Linked DNA regions of Drosophila melanogaster. Changing the gene in region 3 together with the main gene of any one other region gives a genetic interaction. Each region holds a gene or a part of one and is shown on either strand. Other genes may lie near its edges.

The links.
Region 1: of rictor (region 3) and trc, changing one suppresses a phenotype caused by changing the other (phenotypic suppression), as found in Drosophila melanogaster (one study listed by BioGRID).
Region 2: of rictor (region 3) and Akt, changing one suppresses a phenotype caused by changing the other (phenotypic suppression), as found in Drosophila melanogaster (one study listed by BioGRID).

The regions. Positions count from the first base shown.
Region 1 is NT_037436.4:19,830,328-19,836,281, reverse strand, and holds trc (tricornered), read left to right. Parts: upstream 1-1,977; 5' UTR 1,978-2,189; coding exon 2,190-2,672; intron 2,673-3,138; coding exon 3,139-3,348; intron 3,349-3,405; coding exon 3,406-3,512; intron 3,513-3,557; coding exon 3,558-4,054; intron 4,055-4,111; coding exon 4,112-4,206; 3' UTR 4,207-5,418; downstream 5,419-5,954. Other genes in the region: CG32221 (uncharacterized protein), read right to left, coding at 45-161, 237-928, 992-1,481. UniProt on the Drosophila melanogaster protein: Serine/threonine-protein kinase involved in controlling cell structure and proliferation of a variety of polarized outgrowths including epidermal hairs, bristles, arista laterals, and dendrites.
Region 2 is NT_033777.3:16,097,226-16,105,263, reverse strand, and holds the start of Akt (Akt kinase), read right to left. Parts: upstream 6,037-8,038; 5' UTR 5,604-6,036; intron 4,505-5,603; exon of another isoform or gene 4,485-4,504; intron 4,365-4,484; 5' UTR 4,321-4,364; coding exon of another isoform or gene 4,078-4,320; coding exon 3,538-4,077; intron 3,470-3,537; coding exon 3,272-3,469; intron 3,207-3,271; coding exon 2,817-3,206; intron 2,754-2,816; coding exon 2,520-2,753; intron 2,452-2,519; coding exon 2,305-2,451; intron 2,234-2,304; coding exon 2,150-2,233; 3' UTR 1-2,149. Other genes in the region: Mhcl (myosin heavy chain-like), read left to right, coding at 7,676-8,038. UniProt on the Drosophila melanogaster protein: Serine/threonine kinase involved in various developmental processes. During early embryogenesis, acts as a survival protein. During mid-embryogenesis, phosphorylates and activates trh, a transcription factor required for tracheal cell fate determination.
Region 3 is NC_004354.4:19,258,199-19,263,005, forward strand, and holds the start of rictor (rapamycin-insensitive companion of Tor), read right to left. Parts: upstream 3,043-4,807; 5' UTR 2,853-3,042; coding exon 2,789-2,852; intron 1,646-2,788; exon of another isoform or gene 1,547-1,645; coding exon of another isoform or gene 1,519-1,546; intron 1,449-1,518; coding exon 1,238-1,448; intron 1,175-1,237; coding exon 629-1,174; intron 169-628; coding exon 15-168; intron 1-14. Other genes in the region: Vav guanine nucleotide exchange factor, read left to right, coding at 4,141-4,395.

The DNA of each region.
Region 1 (5,954 bases), on a different chromosome or scaffold from region 3:
TTGGTAATGATTGAAGAAACATTCGTTGTTAAACGAATAAGGCCTCACAAGGCTTGGCGATCGAATTCCGGCTCATCGGCATAAAAGTGTCCGCCGCTTGTCATTCCATCGCTGCACTCGAAGTTCAAACAGAGCATTTTCAGGGGAAATTCGTGCGGTAGCTGCAAACGAAGCACAAAGTGTCACATTAACATAAGGACTTTCGAATATATGTATGTGCTTTAAATATTACTCACCCGTTCCATGATGTCATGCCTAATGTCAGTGGCCGCGGCAAATAGCTCTAGGGTTTGATGAGCTGAGCGTTTCGATAAGCTGGCCAGCGTGTCCAAGACGAAGGCGTCTGTGATGCCCAGGCAATAGCAAATGTTCAGATACCGAAGGCGCTCATTGTTGGCCACCAAAAGGGAGAGCTGCGTTTCTCCAATCTCACGAGCGGACTGTATGGAAAGGCACTCTAATCGACTCAACTTCGCCAAGTGGTGAACACACAGATCGTCACGAGGCTTGCAGACCAGCCACCGGAGACACTTCAAAGCACTGATGTACTGCGCCTGCTCCTCGTCAATCCAGCGTTTGCGGTGCAGGATGAGGTATTCCAACTGAATGGAGCACTGGCTTTTGGCCAGTGCCTTGAACAGGCGCGTTTTCATATCCTCCGAGCAGTATAATTGCAGGTACTTGAGGTTTACAAACTGCGGCAGGACCAACAGATCGGCGTCGCAGTCATTGAACGTCAGCTTCTCCAGGTGGCGGCAGTTGGTGGCCAGCATCCTGAGATTGCTGGTAGTCAGAAAGCGTTTGGCGTTGCGCAGCTGAAGGCATCGCAGCTTCCTCATGGGTTTCACAATTGTTGCGAATTCCGAGGCGGTCACGTCGTCGTACAAGCCAAGTTCCAGCATCTCGCTAAACTGACGTACTTCTTGTACTGTGAAGGGAGAAGCAATTAAATAATATTGTTGTGATAAGGTGAACATTAAATAGTTCTTACACTCCTTGCGTTCAAAGCTCTCCAGGCTCAGACTGTTGACCCGCGGAAGGTGTATCCCAATGGCTTTTATTAGATCCTTGCTGGTGCTCTTGTAGTTACGCACGTGCACCTTTTCCAGGGAGCTCATCCTCAATAAATACGGTTGCGCCCGTGCCACTGTTGCATTGTATATAGAGATGGACTTCAGTCGGTAGCAGTGTCTGCTGATCATCGGGAGCAGCTGCAGCGGGTGATCATCGTCAAAGTGGGATTCCAGTGTACCGATGCGACTGCCACAGAGCCACAGAAAGGTGCGCCAATCCTCCAGAGTCCTTATACTCATATCCTTGTCAACAACATCCTGGAAATCATGGCGATGCAGGCGAAGAAAGGCATCCCTAAAAATGCGACAGCATCGCGCCAAGTGCAACTGGTCCTCCAAGCTTAGAAGCTTGAAGATGAACAACAGAGAACTGGGGTCCAAGTCCAGAATACTGGTGATGCGGGCCATTATTAGCTGACTATGCTCATTGCGCGGGACCGTCACAGGCGCCAAATGGCCAGATTAGCAAAGGCAACTGGTTTATGTACGCCTGACATGGAAAAATTTATCCCAAGTCGGTAAGTTCTATTTATTTACTAATTGGACTGGTGGCAGTGATGACAATTTTCGAAGTAAGAGTCTTTTGGCAAGATTCAAGCTAAAAGGTTAAAGCTAAGATATTTTAACTATTGTTTAAGCTTTGTTTCTTAATAGAATTACAGTAAATAATAACATGACCTTAAAGTAAATTTAAATAAATTTAAATTTAATCAATTTTAATTAAAAAAATCAATGTAAGTAATAAGTAACGTAATTTCAGTACATAAATTTTATACAATTGTCGGTGAAAGCTTAATTGTCATGACTATCTGCGAGCCAAAAGCACTAAAGTTCTAAAATCAATCGATTAGCTATCGATAGCCCCACTGGATCGCAGCCAACTTTGCTTTGTTGGGGATGCAAAATGCGAATGGCTCTTGAAGAAGAAGCAGCAGAGGGAGGAATTTCAACAAATTACCGAGGAAAAAGGCAAGAAACGGGCGAAGAAAGCAGTGTGTGTGCATTGGCAAGTGCATAACTCCTCACCACACACACGCACACGCACCGACATCGCAGGGAGCACACACACAAGCCCCAAATAGGACCGAGGTGACCAGGACAAAAACCCCAGCTTAGATGATGAGCAGCAGAACGCAGGACGCGGACGGTGCCTCGATCAGATTCAGCGACCACACACTGGACAAGGCCACCAAGGCCAAGGTGACGTTGGAGAACTACTACAGCAACCTGGTGACGCAGTATGGCGAGCGAAAGCAGCGCCTCGCAAAGCTGGAGGCTCAGCTGAAGGACGAGAGCTTGTCGGAGGCGCAGCGCCAGGAGAAGCGTCTGCAGCATGCCCAGAAGGAGACGGAGTATCTCCGGCTGAAGCGATTGCGCCTCGGTGTGGAGGACTTTGAGGCCCTCAAAGTCATCGGACGCGGCGCGTTCGGTGAAGTGCGTTTGGTGCAGAAAAAGGACACGGGACATGTGTACGCCATGAAGGTGCTGCGCAAAGCGGACATGCTGGAAAAGGAGCAGGTGGCACACGTACGAGCCGAGCGCGATGTCCTGGTCGAGGCCGATCATCAGTGGGTGGTGAAGATGTACTACAGTTTCCAGGTGAGTGACGAGCGCCAGCTACAACAAAAACAATGATATAGGGTGGGTGGGAGAAAGGGTGATGGGGTGAAGGAGCGGGCGGCAGCGCACATAACAAAAGAATTGTGTTAAAACACGGACAAAAAAATCAATAAACCAATACAACGGCAAATGCCAAAAGCGCCTTTGCCAATCATATGGTCACGTCTCTCTTGCTCTCTCGCTTCCTCTCTCATTCTCTGCGTGGGCCGCCTTTGTTGTTTTTTTCTCGATTCTCTTTTGTCAACTTCTTCTCGGTGAAAGTTCTTGACACAGGCGAACCAGCCTACACTGAATCGCCATTTCTCTGACGTTAAATATTTGTTTAATAAGATATTTTTGCATATTACAATTATTGTACAATGAATGTAAATACAATTGCATTCATATATAAGTATTTTCTTACTCAGTAATAATGTGAGAATGTTTTTGAAATATCTTTCCACAGGATCCCGTCAATTTATATTTGATAATGGAGTTCTTGCCTGGTGGTGATATGATGACGCTTTTGATGAAGAAGGACACGCTATCCGAGGAGGGCACACAGTTCTATATCAGTGAGACGGCATTGGCGATCGATTCTATTCACAAACTCGGTTTCATACACAGGGATATCAAGCCCGATAACTTGCTGCTGGACGCGCGAGGGCATCTGAAGGTAAGTGGAATCCAGATAATTGAGATGAGCCCACTAAAAACTCTATTATTATTTTAGCTCTCCGACTTCGGACTGTGCACTGGCTTAAAGAAGTCGCATCGAACAGACTTTTATCGGGACTTGTCGCAGGCGAAACCATCCGATTTTATAGGCACGTGCGCCAGGTAAGATGTGAAAGAATCTAAGCTTGTATTTATTAAATAAACTAGCTTGTCCTGCAGTCCGATGGACTCCAAGCGACGTGCCGAGTCGTGGAAGCGAAATCGACGCGCCCTCGCCTACAGCACCGTGGGAACGCCGGACTATATTGCACCCGAAGTATTTCTGCAGACTGGCTACGGACCCGCCTGCGACTGGTGGTCCCTGGGAGTCATCATGTACGAAATGCTGATGGGCTATCCTCCATTCTGCTCGGACAATCCCCAGGACACCTACCGCAAGGTGATGAACTGGCGCGAGACGCTGATATTTCCCCCAGAGATCCCCATATCGGAGGAGGCCAAGGAGACGATCATCAACTTCTGCTGCGAGGCCGATCGCCGGCTGGGTTCCCAGCGCGGTCTGGAGGATCTGAAGTCCGTGCCGTTCTTCCGGGGAGTTGACTGGGAGCACATACGTGAGCGTCCCGCGGCCATACCCGTTGAGGTGCGCTCAATCGACGATACGTCCAACTTCGACGAGTTTCCCGATGTGTCGCTGGAGATACGTAAGTATATTTTTAAGCAAAGGGACGAGCACACAGACTAACGTGCATCCATTGCAGCATCGGCGCCCATACCGCAGGGCGGTGAGATTGCGAAGGACTGGGTCTTTATCAACTACACGTACAAACGATTCGAGGTGCGAAATTTGGAGTGAATCCAGCAGAGCAGGAACTGGAGCAGGAGCAGTAGCAGTAGCAGCTTGAAGGTTGCCGCACTTTGCCACCCATTTTATCACCACCACAGCCGTCGTCTCTCTAACACCATCACCACCAAGAGCATTCTCCACGCTAAACGAAATCCCCGATTTTCCTTTTTGAATGTCTTACCTACATGTGTATTTAAATACTAGCTAACATTTGTGATTCCAAACAAGAGAAGAATATGATAACGCGAACAAACGATGTATTGTATGTAAAAAAGTCTTAGAGCGTCGCCCGCGCCTCGGGCTAGGTTAAACGCTATACTAATCCTCAAATGTCCTTCCATTGGCTTTGTTCAATCCCTAATCCCGATCTTAATCGTTTAAACGTTGTGTTTGTAAACCAGTTCCCCATATTAGGGACCCATTCGGCAATTCTTTATATATATATATATTGTTTACTTATTGGGCAGCAGCGAAATACCCATAAATTTATTATTTAGCAAATTAAAAATGTTATAACTTTTAGGCACGTTAATTGTACGTATATGTTTTGTATCAACTTGTAATGAAACAAAGTCTTAATACATAGTGAACCCCACACACAAAACCGAATCCGAAAATCTATCACACAAATTAGTTACTAATGCCAATAGCAACAAAAGCTAATCTAGACAGCAGAATAAATAAAAGTATGTTTAAATATCGGTTTCGTTCTATGTACACCTGCCCCATCCCACCCCACCACAACCCGCGCCCACGGACACGAATATAGATTTAAAAACATTCTACTTCCCGCTGGAGTTTTTAGTTCCAAGTAATTGTAGTTTGAGCAAAAGTGAATTATTGAAAAAGTTACCGAGTTACCGCTGGCAAGTATAAATCCAATTACATAGCAAACACTCAACGCCGAGCAGTTGCAGAATGCAAACTTAAAATAATTGATAATATACCTATAAATAAATTAAACGAGTAAACAAGTTTTAAGAAATTATTTTTGGTAATAGAATACAATAATAGTAAGCATACTGATAATTCGATAATAATGCTACACACACAGCAACATGAAATGCAATAATAAATGAAACATGTGCATAATAACTAACAAATACATGCTTTTTACTTGAATTCGACTCGATCTGGGCAATCAGTGCATTACTTACAGGAGTGCTAGCATCCTTGAAGCATTCTATGAGGTGGATGTGGTTCATGAAATCATACACCGTGGACATCAACCTTGGAATCATCTCCCTATTTCCACTTGAATCATGAAACCTATCTCAAAGAAACCTTAAGCTTTTGAGTTTCCCGTAGTGTAACAACATGTGAATGGGTATGGATACGACGAACCTTCATCTTTAACCTAAATGGTATTGTATTGTATTTTCGAAATAAGTAAGCATGAGGAAACCAAAAAGTAACACGACACAAATGCTAGGCTTTGTACATTTAAATGTATGTATATATTTTGTCGATCTTTTCATCTGCACTTCTCTCGATATTTCCCTATCTGCACTCGCGTTCGATTTTTGATTTGTGTTTTGTGTGTTGATGAGAGGGCGTTGATTTCATTTTCTGCAGTTCTGCAGTTTCTGTATCTGTATCAGAACAATGTGGCTTGGCTTTAATTGAGTGCAACATCCGAAACCATTACAGACATGAAAATAAAGATTTCAAATTGAATTGGTCAGGCGGTTAGGCTCGAAAATCGAAAGTAACTTGTTTTCCATCTGCGATTTAATGTGTGTATGTGTGTCGATCGT
Region 2 (8,038 bases), on a different chromosome or scaffold from region 3:
ATTGTAGTTTGCAGTTCGTGTAAGTTTTTGTTTTTTTTTTTTTAATCGAAACCAAAAATTGTCTCACACAACTCAGTAAACTTAGACAACTATTTTGAAAGGTCTCTTTCGTCCCCTTCGACGGGTAGAAAATGCTTCGATTTGGGATACCAGAGATGTTGACGTTCACTAAGGCTAGTATTCAATTTGCTTCGGATGTCCCTAACCGATTTCTAAGTCTTTGCTTTAGATTTCTAGCTGGTTGCCCCTTGGCTGGCAGACTTGCCTAACGAGTCTGTCAGAAGGGTTATTGGGCTTGTTGAAGTCGATTCTCGGGTTGTATGTCTATTAAGCCATGCTTAGGGGTTCTATATTTTGTCTATGTATTGCTTGATCGATCTGAGATTGATATTGGCTAGCCTAGATGTCAGCCGCAAACTTGGTGAGCAGAAAGCAAGGACTTTAAGCTGTTCAAGGATATAAAGATTGGTTCAATCGGAGCTATCTGATATCTCTCCTCAGCATAGGCTGGCTTTAGCTAGTTAGTTCGTTCCTAGTCATGATTTGGAACCATCATCGTCACATGTCCAAGACTCCAACCGAAACATCCCGACTTGCTGGCTCCTCAATTCTCGGTTCTCCTCGAGTTCCACCTAACTTCGCCGCTTCTTTGGCATTTTCTTTTCGTTTCTATATCCCTTCGTTTTCGATTTGCTGTTTATTGTAATCATCGAGTGATAGGTTTCGTTTAACATTTAGAAGAGAGATTATGCTTTCAATTTCTTTGTTTTCAGTTGAAATTCCCGAACTTGATTTTATTTAATAATTTTTATTTACAATATTTATTTTGTTTTCTTTACGAAATATAAAATAACTTTTTGTTTCGTTTTATTCTTGATTTTTGTTTTTATTGCGCATATAAAAATATCAAAAATTCTTTATTTTCTTTTAGGTTTTTTTTCTGTTTATATAATTTTTAATCTTCCTTTTGGAACTATTTGTAAGTCTGTTGTGGTTGATTTATATATATTTTTTGCTGACTTGCTCTAAGTATACAAAACTTGTTATGAACTTTTCAATGCCAAAAATGAAATGACAAAGATACATTTTTTATTGTGTCAAAGGTTAAACCTTTTCTGTGGCCTCAAATGGTGACTTCCATTTTCCACACGACACATACATCCTTTGTTTTTTTTTTGCATTTACTCTTGAGTTTTTGCTTTTTTTTTATAAATATTTACAAATATATATTTTTCGTAAAAAATTATAATAAAAAATGGCGTCAATTGTAATCATTTTGCTGTTGCCGTTATTGTTTCGAAATATGTTTCTGCCTGAATATAACTTTTAGTTGCTTGCTAATTATTGGCGCCTATAAACTGCATTGATGTATGTTTCCCTCGTTTATTAACTATTAGTTTGTTTGTTTCTGTTGTTGTAGTTTTGCATAAAGCACAGCACATTAGAGGCAATTTTAACATTATATATAACTTGTAATTGTTTCTGTTTCTTTTTTGCTTCTTTGGAGTATAAATAATTTATATATACGAGTGTTGCATGTGGGGGCGGTTGTTGAATATGTGTATTTCGATTTGTTGCTGTCAAGTTAACTAAACTTCATGTTCGCTATATGCTAAGTGGCTGTGTGAGTGCTGTCTGCGTGAATAATCTGTATAATCAATCAGCTTAAGCGACCCCTAGAGGATGCGATCCGATGATGCATGCTTTATCCTAGCACTAAGTCGCTCTAAGTCGCTTGGTTAAATGTTTTCCTTGCGTTTAAAATTAACTAATCACTTCAAGCGCTATGCCCCAAGTGTTATATTTAGTTGTATATATAATTATATATATATATATATATATATTTATATATATGTGTATAATCATATGTAGTAAATTATTTTCCTCGGCTTCGGCTGTTGCCCTTTCGTTCAACGTTCCCTTTCTCATTATACAAAAATAAGTTACTATCAATTCAATTCTCTTATTATTGGTGTATATAAACTAGCAAGAAAACCCTTTGCTTGCCTTCGTTATCATGGTATAATTAATATTTAATATATTCTTGCTGTTGTTTTCTTTTGCCCATTTCTATGTGTTATAGGTATAGTATAGTAATAGGTGATGAAGCAGAACATGATGTGTGCTGGTAAAAGTTTGTAAACTTGTTCTATTGCATCGATGCGAGACTTGTGGAAGTACTAATGTGCGACGAGGTGCCCAACGTGGAGGCCATGTCTCCTTGGTAGCTGAACTGTGGCGGTGAAACCAAAAATTGGATGAGCATACAGAACCCCACTTTAAATGTTTTCAACTAGATCTTACCTGCGGGAAAAGCGGCTCTTCGGCTATGGAGCCCAACGGGCCAGTGGGATCCGGCGGCGTCAACTCCACACTCTCTCCCGTAAACTCCTTGTCGAAGTACCTTGTATCCGTATCGGATGTCACCTGAGGCTTGAAAGGCGGCGGTATCTACGGTAAGCATTTTAAATTCGATTAATATATACGAATAGGTAACTGACAGATTTACTGTGCCCTACTTTTTTCAACACTAGATCTGTCCAGTTAATACTCGCAAAGAATGGATGTGCTTGTATCTCCTTGACATCATCCTTTCCACCTCCCAAACGCTTTTTGGGATCCTTAGCTAGAAGGCCTGCTAACAGATTTTTCGCCTCATCTGTGATATTACGCGGGAATTTTACCTCCTCCACCAAAATCAATGTAAAGAGCACATCATGATCACGATTGTAAAACGGAAGACGACCACAGATCTGTAAGGAATTATTTTTGTTTTTAATACTTGTTAATAGTATTTGCAGATGCAACAAACTCACCATCTCGTACATGACCACGCCAGTGCCCCACCAGTCCACCGCTTGGCCATAATCATTGTCATCTAATACTTCCGGAGCTAGGTATTCCGGTGTACCGCAGAAGGTTTTCGTTGTGCGGCCGTAGGTGATGTCCTCCTTGCACAGACCGAAGTCTGCGACCTTTATGTGACCATCTTTGTCCAGCAAAAGATTTTCCAGCTTTAAGTCGCGATAAATTATGCCCTGTGAATGCAGATAGCCCAGAGCAGAAATGATCTCTGCCCCATAGAAACGTGTTCGATCCTCAGTAAATATGCGTTCGTGGCTTAAATGCCAAAAGAGCTCGCCACCGTTCACGTACTGCATCACAAAACACAGGCGGTCGTTGGTTTGAAACGAATATTTGAGTGACTGCAAAACAGGGAAGACATATATTAGTTTTTTAACGTAAATTATATATTACTAGCAATACTTACAATGAGGAACGGATGATTTGTGGACTTGAGCACACGACTCTCGGTCAGGGTATGGGCCACCTCGTCCTTTTGGATAATAACTTCCTTTTTAAGAATTTTGATCGCGTACAGCTTGGCGGTAGCCTTCTCGCGACACAAAATAACCTTACCAAAGGTGCCCTTGCCGAGCACCTTGAGGAACTCAAAATTCTCCAAAGTCTACAAGGAGATAAGATGGAGTCAGCTCGATCACGCCCTTGGTCAATGACCAGGTGAGTGGTACTTACCACTTTCTTAACGCCGCTGCTATTACAAGTCGTTCCCTGTACGGAGAACTGCTCGGAAAGCTCGTCCTCGGCAATGGTGGCCATGTCCACGTCTGTCATGTCTGTCTGTTCAGATGGCGTCATAGCCACCTCACCCACATCTATGAGCCGGCTGGATACGTTGCGAATGGCCTCCGTCCACTGCTGGCGCTCTAATTCTGATTCGACGGCAAATGTCCTTTCGATTACCGTGGTCCATTGCAGGCCGCGGATGATGAAGGTGAATGGCTTGGGCCGATCGACGGTCATGATCTGGCAGCCGCGCACCGTAAAGTTGTTGAGCAGGAAGTCCGATGGCGTGCTGGCACTATCTGCCGGCTTGCTGCGGTAACCCATCAGTCTTCCATCGGAGTGGAGCACGAAGTAGCGCTGGCGCCAGTTCTTTATGTGCTCGCCCCTCTTCATCAGCCACCCCTCCTTTACGACCTGAGTCTGTTCCGTAAGCGCATGACCCGATGTAACGCTGGGCGAGCTGAGGTCGAAAGTTGTGTTTATTGACATGGTTCCGGAATCGTGTGTAGGGGCCGCGGAGGTCCTGCTTGGCCAGGATTGCTGCCAGCTGAATTTCTCTGCACTGCCGCTGGTGGGGCTGCTGTTTGGATGGGTGGATTGGCTGTAGATGATGTTAATGATGTTGCTCCCTGTGGTGGTGGGCGATTCCGGGATCCTAGAGGCAGATCCTGGCGCTGGGGCGCTGGCAACCACAGTCGATCGCCGCTGAAGAACAAACGGTAGGTAATTCGTGTTGAGGCTGTTTCACTAACCCTAGGGACAAGCTAATGAGGGACCTGTAAGAGGAGTACAGTGAATCCTTTATATTCATGCTGAGTTTGAAATACTTAAACTAAGAATGCGATCGACGAAAAGAAAAAGGCTTTAGCAGAGGGTTCGTCTAGTAACACCTTTACCTTCAGGGATTCAACATGTACTAGATATTAACTGATCCGCCAACTGTCGACATAAACTAGTCAAAGTGGACAAATGGAGTTCCCAAATGAGCTAGCTATCAAAAAAGGGGAAACAGACACTAAAAGGCTGCCAAGTCTATCCAGATATATACTTCCCACATCGCCTATCTCACGCTGATAGTAAACAATTGTTATTGTCATTTTGCATGTTTATGACAAATGCAGTTGGCGCTTGCGTCAGCAGCTGGTGCAAAACATTTGCGGCATTTCCGTCGCCAGAAAGGGATTGAATTGGATTGAGGACTGTGATTCTGATTGTATCGAATTGGATGGGTTGGTATGGTGTGGCATGGTATGGGATTGGATTCTTAGTCACTGGCCCACATGCAGATGTAGGCGCCATCGTCGCCTTGTTGTTGCTGCCACTTTCGGCTTCAAACGAAATTCCCCGCCATGTTACGCAGCGACACGGCGATACGAGTGAAAATTGTTCGCGATTGCATTTAGCGCGAAATTAAATCAAAACAAGTCGACGGCGGCGACTGTTCATGAACTTATGTATATGCATATATAATACATACATATACATATGTACACATACAGGGGACTCGCAGGCGGCACTCGCACTCGTACTCGCACTCACACTGGCACAACTGCAAAAGCAAAAGCATATTCATTTACAATTTGCGAAAATGTCAACGACGGATGGCCGCCGGCTGTACAAATGTCGCTATCTATCTAAAACTGTAAACAAATGTACATAAAATAAAAATCGACAAAATACACACACAGGCATAAGCGGACAGGCGCTCGCACACCGAGGCAGTCACACAGACAGGGCTGCATTGCAAAGTGCGAGTGAGGCCAGACTGTGGGTGCGAGGGGGAGGGAGACAGACAGTACGCGTGTCTGCCACAAAGGTGTATGAGTGTGAGTGTATGTGTGAGTGTCTGGCCGTGTGCGTGTGATTGTCTGGCCGTGTGGGTGTGAGTGGCTGAGTGAGTGAACCACCGAGTGTGCGAGTGTGTGTGGGCAGCGGCGACCTAGCAGCGCAACATGTCAAATCACTTCGTGGAAATGGAAATTGTGGAAATGCTGGTGAAAAATACAAGAACCCACCTAGTTTTGTAAAAAAAAAAACCCGACTTTTGCTTTCCCTACTGCACTGCGGTTTGTTTTCCTACTCGTTTTGGTATTTTCCTTTAGATGGTGACGGCAGCGACAACGTCACAGGCCTTCTTATTATTGTGCGTGTGTTGTTGTTGCTGCTTGCTATTGTTGTTGTTGCTGCTGCTGCTGTAGTTGTTGTTGTGTTAAGGTGCCAGACACCAGAGGACGGAACGAAACACACACAATCTCGCACTCGCGCACTGGAAGTCGATTTCCGCCACCCGGGCGTTTCCACTTGGTGTTTTCTTGCCTTCCAAAGCAACGTTGCATCAATTGCAAATGCTTAAAAACGTAGTTTTCATAAACAGAAGCACGCACACAGGCAAAGTAAATTTTCCAAGTACCGTTTAGTTTTTACGCTTCACTTTTTTTCGATAACTGGCTCGATAACTGATTCGATCCGCGTTGCCACCTGTTTTAGCGATAGTTAGGCGACTGTTACGGTGGAAAGATGCCAGAGAGAGACATTATTTAAGAGCTGTACAACGCGCAAATATCCCTTAAATTTAAATTAAATGTTTTAGAAGGCAATAGTTCTGTTTTCTGACTGTCTAGGCCGACTCTTTAACTAGAATTCACTTCAAATTTGAATGTATGAACTGCAGATTAATAATAATGCTGTATTGTTATTAAATTCATTTTTAAAAACTTTATTTTATATGCTATGTATACAAAACTATTTCTTATATCGACAAATTGTTATAACTTTTCAAAGCATAATTGATCAAAAATTTGGAAGCCCTATCAATTTTATATATGGTTCCTGTCCGCACTAAGTAGATACTCTGATAAGTATGACCATGTGTAAGTAGCTAGAAAAAGTCAGTTCTCTTTTCCAGTTTCCCAGATCAAATTTGATATTCACCTCTTTGGGCACTCTTGCTCAGATTTGTTTATGCAGAACGCGAAGTCTCCTTTGAATCCGAAAAAAAAACAAAAAACGAGTAGCGAATAAAGTGCCCCATTGGCACAAAACGAGGTAAATAACTTGCAACCCAATCGGAAGGGAGAACATAGCATGCCACTTTCAAATAAACAAATAACGACTCCAGCGCGACTGTGTGTGCGTGAGTCCCTCCCAATGTTTGTGTGTGTTATCAAAAAAGGCGTAGAAAAGTGCAAAAACAAAGGTGTTATTGACTCTCAACTTTCTTTTTCTGCCTATCGTGTGTATCACTGTGGGCTGTGGCCGAATAAGAGCGTTCGCCGAATATGAGCAATTGGAAAAGCATGAGCATAAGTAATGAGGCAGAATCGGTTGCATTCAATTAGTTGGAGAAATGAAAAATATGAAGAGATGGTGTAGAGAGAAGGGAAGAGTGCAGTCTCGAGCAATCAATACCAACGCAGCCACGAGCCCCCCTTTCTTTGTGTGTGTGTGTGTTACCGTGTGAAAACAAAACAAATGTATGCTAGCTGTGGAAAAGAAAGCGCATAATTGAATAATAAATAATAACAGAAACAGGGCAAATGGCAACGACTCAATGACAAAAGTAAAGCCGCCACCGCAGCAGAAGAAATGTGGGTGCAAAAGTGAAGAAATATGCCATTGTTTATGTGATTTGCAAATGTGCACATTCACACAAACACCGTGGCAAGATAACGGTTGTTGTGCGGGCGGGTGCATTGCTCGAAGTGGCTGTGCAATTGTAAGAGCGAGATAGCAATACGAAGAGAACAGGACTGAGCAGTACAGGGGCGAAATCCAGGGGACCTTAAACGTGGATTATGGGCACCTTAAATGTTTTTGTAAAATCAAATCACATAAATACCGTACTTTAAACTATTCAGTGAATTAAAATTGTGTTACTGATTTTAAAAATGTAAGTTGTAATTTCAAGTTTGGAAATGAACGGTATGCCCTGCACGTTTGTCTAGATCCACCCCTGGATAGAGCGCAGCAAAGAGAACAGTGCAAATCGAATTAGTCCAGACTTTTGGTCACGCCCTTGAACTTCGCATTAACCCACCAACGCCCCCCTTCCGCAGCTAGCACCTAAGGACCCCACACACCACATAAGATGTTCAACTTTATGAAGAAGAGCGCTGGGGATGAGGACAAGGAGCGTCGCAAGCGCGAAAAAAAACTGCGCAAAGAGGCTAAGGGCACCTCTGGTGGCCCGGGAATGGGAGGCGTGACTGGCGTCACCGGCAGCATGAGCACCGACGAGCTGCTCCGCCTGGACGAGGTGCGCCGATCGCTTAAAATCCGAGGGCGACGCAAGGAGAAGGAAAAGTTGCCGAGCGGAATTACGGCGGACTATAGCGCAGACTTCTTTGCCGCCCTCAATGCAGATGCAAACGGCGGAAGCAACGGAGGAGCAGTGGGAGCTGCAGATCCCGAGCAGGATCGTGGCAATGAGGAGATTGTAGCATCTGTGATG
Region 3 (4,807 bases):
GGGAATGTACTCACTCTGACTTCGATCTGGTTCAAATACAGAGCGTCGACTATTGCTTTCAGGCCTGAGGGTTTGCTAGGATCACAGAATTCGAGGGTGCCCGTCCAGCTGCGCAGCACAGACAGCAGTGCCAGCCGACAGCTGGTGTAGCGAAGTTCGCGCGCATCCCTGAAAGATAGTTTTATTTATAAAAGAATGATGTAACTGATAGCGCTTATCTACAACTTGTAGTAGTACATCTTGTGAAAAAACTTCAGTAGATGTTTGTGGGATAGTCTTGTTCGATTTTCCAAAAGTGTTTCGCCCGATTTAACTACTCATTTAGAGCATGAAACGAGGTCAATGGCCGTGCTGCCTTTAGTTATCTATTTTAGAATTTCATGTTTGCATCCGCTGTTTGATAATCTCAAAAGACGGCGTGATGTTCATCGATTATTTGGTTACAATTCAACAGCAGATATAATTACTCTACATTAAATTACTTTCGGCGAATTAATGAGTGAAGTGGATCCGTCTTACATCTGGCTTGATAAACTGCTTTTTGTTTTGGGTAACCCATTTGTAGTATTCTGCAGCCAAGCTGCAGTATTCAAGGAGGGATTGGTGGGATCTTCACTAGGGCACTCACTTGTTCTTATCGACGATACTCTGCCGGTAGGTGAAATCGCAATAAGGAGCTGCCAGGCAGTCCAGCCGCACACCGCAGATGTTCCTCGTTTGCGGCCACTCGAGCAGGTACAGAAGCACGCCGCACAGGCTCTCAGCGATGCGGGGATTGTGGCACTCTAGCACATTGCGGGTTATGGAGGTGACGCCGCCGCAGACGATCAGCAGCGCCGGATTGAGCACAGCGAACTCTGCCAGGGTGGCCAGGCAGGCACGCAACAGATTGTCGTTCTCCTCGATGCCGCTATCCGCCAGCGAGACCAGGCAGCGCACCACCGCCGGACTGATGTCCTCCGGCGCGATGGCCAGCATCTTGCGGACCAGCTTCAGTGCCTGGACGCGCTCGTCGTCGTTCTTCAGCATTAGATCGATGGAGCGGCAGAGCAGGTGCTGCAGCTGCAGTGCATTGAACGTCTTGATGTCATTGGGCGTGCTAATGGCATACCGGATCGTTCGCAGTGCCGCCGCTCGCACTTGGGTGAAGGTGTGCACCAGTGAGGCACTAAGGCTGCAATTAAGGGCGATCAATTAGCCATGTTAAGAACAATGGTTTCCCCAACGGGCATCTTACCAGTAGAGCAGCTCCTCGGTGGTGAAGCGTATATTGCTGTGGTGGGAGCCCTTTCGGGCCCCCAAACAGAGCGAGGCCAGCGCGTTGAGCAGAAACAGGCGCTTCGTGTCCCGCGTCTCCTCCAAACAGAGCATCGAGTATATTTCGAATGCATTTTCGGCGGCCGATCGCTGTGGATCCAGGCGGTAGAAGTCCTCCGGATCCTGCGAAACTGTAATGGAGGAAAAGTTTCATTGCTTTTCTTATCAGATCCGTACACACTAATTACTAATTAAAACAACCTTTTATGAATGAATAATATGGCCACATCGATGTACTTGAATATTACATAAATATTATTTGCAAGTAATAGCTTTTTCGGATATGCACATGTTCAAATCATCATAGTACATGGGGTTTTTACGGTCAAGAGGAGGTGCACACATGCATGCACACAGCGACTTGCATTAGAAAGCCATCAAAGTGAAATTGATCGTGGATCGTGGAAAGCTAATCAGCTCAGCCGCTGCCTCTGTCTCTGCCGACGCTGACGCAGGCTGTGCACGTGAAATGACAACAACACAGCGTCATAACAGTTTCGTTGTTGTTGCAGTTGTCGTCGTTACAGCTAACTGTACTTGCATGATGGATTTGGTTGGAAAAGGGGGAGAGCGACAGAGAGAGAGAGAGAGAGAAAGGAGAGAGCATGACGAGCGAAGAAGAACGAAAGAGTGAAGGACACGATGAATGGAAGAAACCAAGCTGAGCATTTCGTATGTTATTGTTTTTGTAGTTCTAGTAGTGGCTGTTGTTATTGTTGTTGTTTCTGCTGTTGCTATCGCTGTTATTGTTATGGTCGATGTTTAGTGAATGTCTATGTTGTTGCTTGTGCTGCGTCATCGTTTTTGGGGGCTCTCTCTATGCTGTGGCGACCGTTCTATAAATAATCGGCCAACATGTAGTCGAAGAATTTGGTCAAATGGCAACAGCAACAACAACAAAAGTAACCAAAATAAAACCAAAAAATACATAAATAAAAATAAAAACTAAATAGAAAATAGAAACGAGAACAACAACAAATGTATAAATAACGGAGGAAACACTGAGGAGATCAGGAGAAATGTTGATCAGAATGCCATGCTGTCGATACATGCGTACATCACTGTTGCATCGCTGCTACATCGTTACCGTTATGGGCAATGCTGCCAGTGTGCTCATTCCCGCCCCCCTCAACAACATATTATTGTTGTTGCTAGTTGCCATCAATGTCAACAAAAAAAAGAACCCTTTGCTACCAATTATTGGCCAAGTCCAATAAACAGAAGGCTGCTGGAGGGGTAGGTGGGGTTGGGGATGAGGTCGGCTCAAGATCCACAACAACAACAACAACAACAACAGCTGCTGCTGTAATGCTTATGCCTCGCCGTAATGCAAAATAATGCAAACTGAATGGAATGGCGGGGGTCGGTGGGGCGAGCCATGTGAGACAAAACGTCGAACGGAGTGATTGCGCCATTATGCCGATGCCACCGTCGCCGTGTTTGATGTCAATTAGCACATTCGTTACATTACCTTTGATGCGTAATTGTAATTTGCTCCGCTTGCCAAAACGCCAACTGGAATGTTGGGAGGCCATCGCGTTGCTTCGCCTCTTTTTCGATTCGCCGATGGGGGCGTGGCGAGGCGGGTGCGGCGCCGTCGCCCGCTCGCCTATTAGCTGTATGTCGAACACACACCCACACACCACAACACACAGATCACACTTAAATATATTGCTTTTCAATTTCACTTGCTGCACAATTTACATTTTTTTTATTGCTCGCCGCTTTAAAGTGACCGTCGTCGGCGCAGGAGAAAAAACCAACTACGAAGCGCCACCGCGGGCACGAGAATTTGGAATATTTACGCGACTTTCAATGAAAAACATTTCATTTTACACTTACATCTTACATTTACATTTGACATACAATTTTGCTTGCTTACTTCCTCTGAAAGGCTAGTGTCTGTAATATAATGAATTTCTTGTGCACTAATTATAAAAATTGAACGGAAATATTCAAAATATTACCTGAGAAATTCGAGGACAGCTGAATTACCCCCAGATAGGAATTCTCCTTATCGTAGAACTATTTTATATGATTATAAATTACGAAATTAAAACAAATACTGTAAGGGAAAATTTACTTAATATTCTTCTGCAAGATTATTTGGTGACTTTTTTTTTGGAGTCAATATATGTCATGTGTATTTACTCTACTTACTAATTTACATCAACTTGTTATATTAAAGCATACCGAGGTGCACAATTAATTTTCGTCACAAAGTAACAATGCTATTAACATATCGTAAATACCACACATGCAGTTGGTATTTTCGAAGGAGCCGCAAGCGGTTACACGGCCGCCCAGACTGTTATCGAAGTCGAGTATGCTCTTCCTCTTCGATAAACGCAATATTTTGCAATAAAGTAAATTAGTTTTAAAACCACAGTGGCGAGCACTTTCTGAGCAACTCGGCAGCCGCAAGCACTGTTCGCGCGTATCCGGTGCACAGGGTGAGCCCTTCGCGAACGCGATACACCCCACTACGCTCGAATTGTCCCGAAATCGTTGTTTTTGTTGTGTGTGGTGTTGGCTAGTGTTGTGCTCTTCATTGCCTTCCGTTTTTGCTCTGTGTATCTGTGCTCGGGTTCACCAATCCAATCGCAACGGCCAACTGATGAGTCTCAATTGTGTCCATTAACGCGACGCGAGTAGCACCCACCCACCCTCCTCCTCCCCCCTCCAACACTTGCCAGTTGGGCCCGCGCCCCACTTCACACCATCACCGCCAACGCCAGCGCCCCACCCGCAACCCCTCCTCCAAATCCGAAACGAAAACCAAATCCCAATCCATATAGTAATACCCAACCCAACCACTGCGAGATGGCCAGCAGCAGTAGCAGCAACAGTTTTGGGGGCGTGGCCGGCGTGAACGGGGATCTGTGGCGCGAGTGCGTCGCCTGGCTGACCAGGTGCAAGGTCATTCCGCCCGACCACAAGGCCGCCCAGCCGGACGCCGAGATCCGCATCCTGGCGATGACGCTGCGCGACGGCGTGCTGCTCTGCAACCTGGTCATCCACCTGGACCCCAGCAGCTTGGATCCGCGCGAGTTCAATCGCAAGCCGCAAATGGCACAGGTGAGTGAAATGCGAGAAGCAAGTGACTTTGCTGGCAAATTGTGAATGGGTGGCACACTCTAAACCTTGTAAACAAGCAACACTGAGAGAAATAGGGGGAAGTATATCTGTAAAAATAATTTAAATCATTAAAACAAACATCACTTACAATTAGTGACAATAATTGGCCAAAACATCATAAATTCATAAAGAAATAGAATATGCCAAATTTATGCACGAATTTGCATGTGTGAATAAATAAATAATAAACATAAATATATATAAAATGAAATAAATGCGTTTCCAGAGAAAAATTACTGTAATAATTTAACGAATTCGATCGAAAATGTGTTTAAAATGTGCCGAAATAAATTCTCCGAAATCCCATATTTTGTTCAGTATGCCAAATTAGAGTGAAATATTATTGAACAAT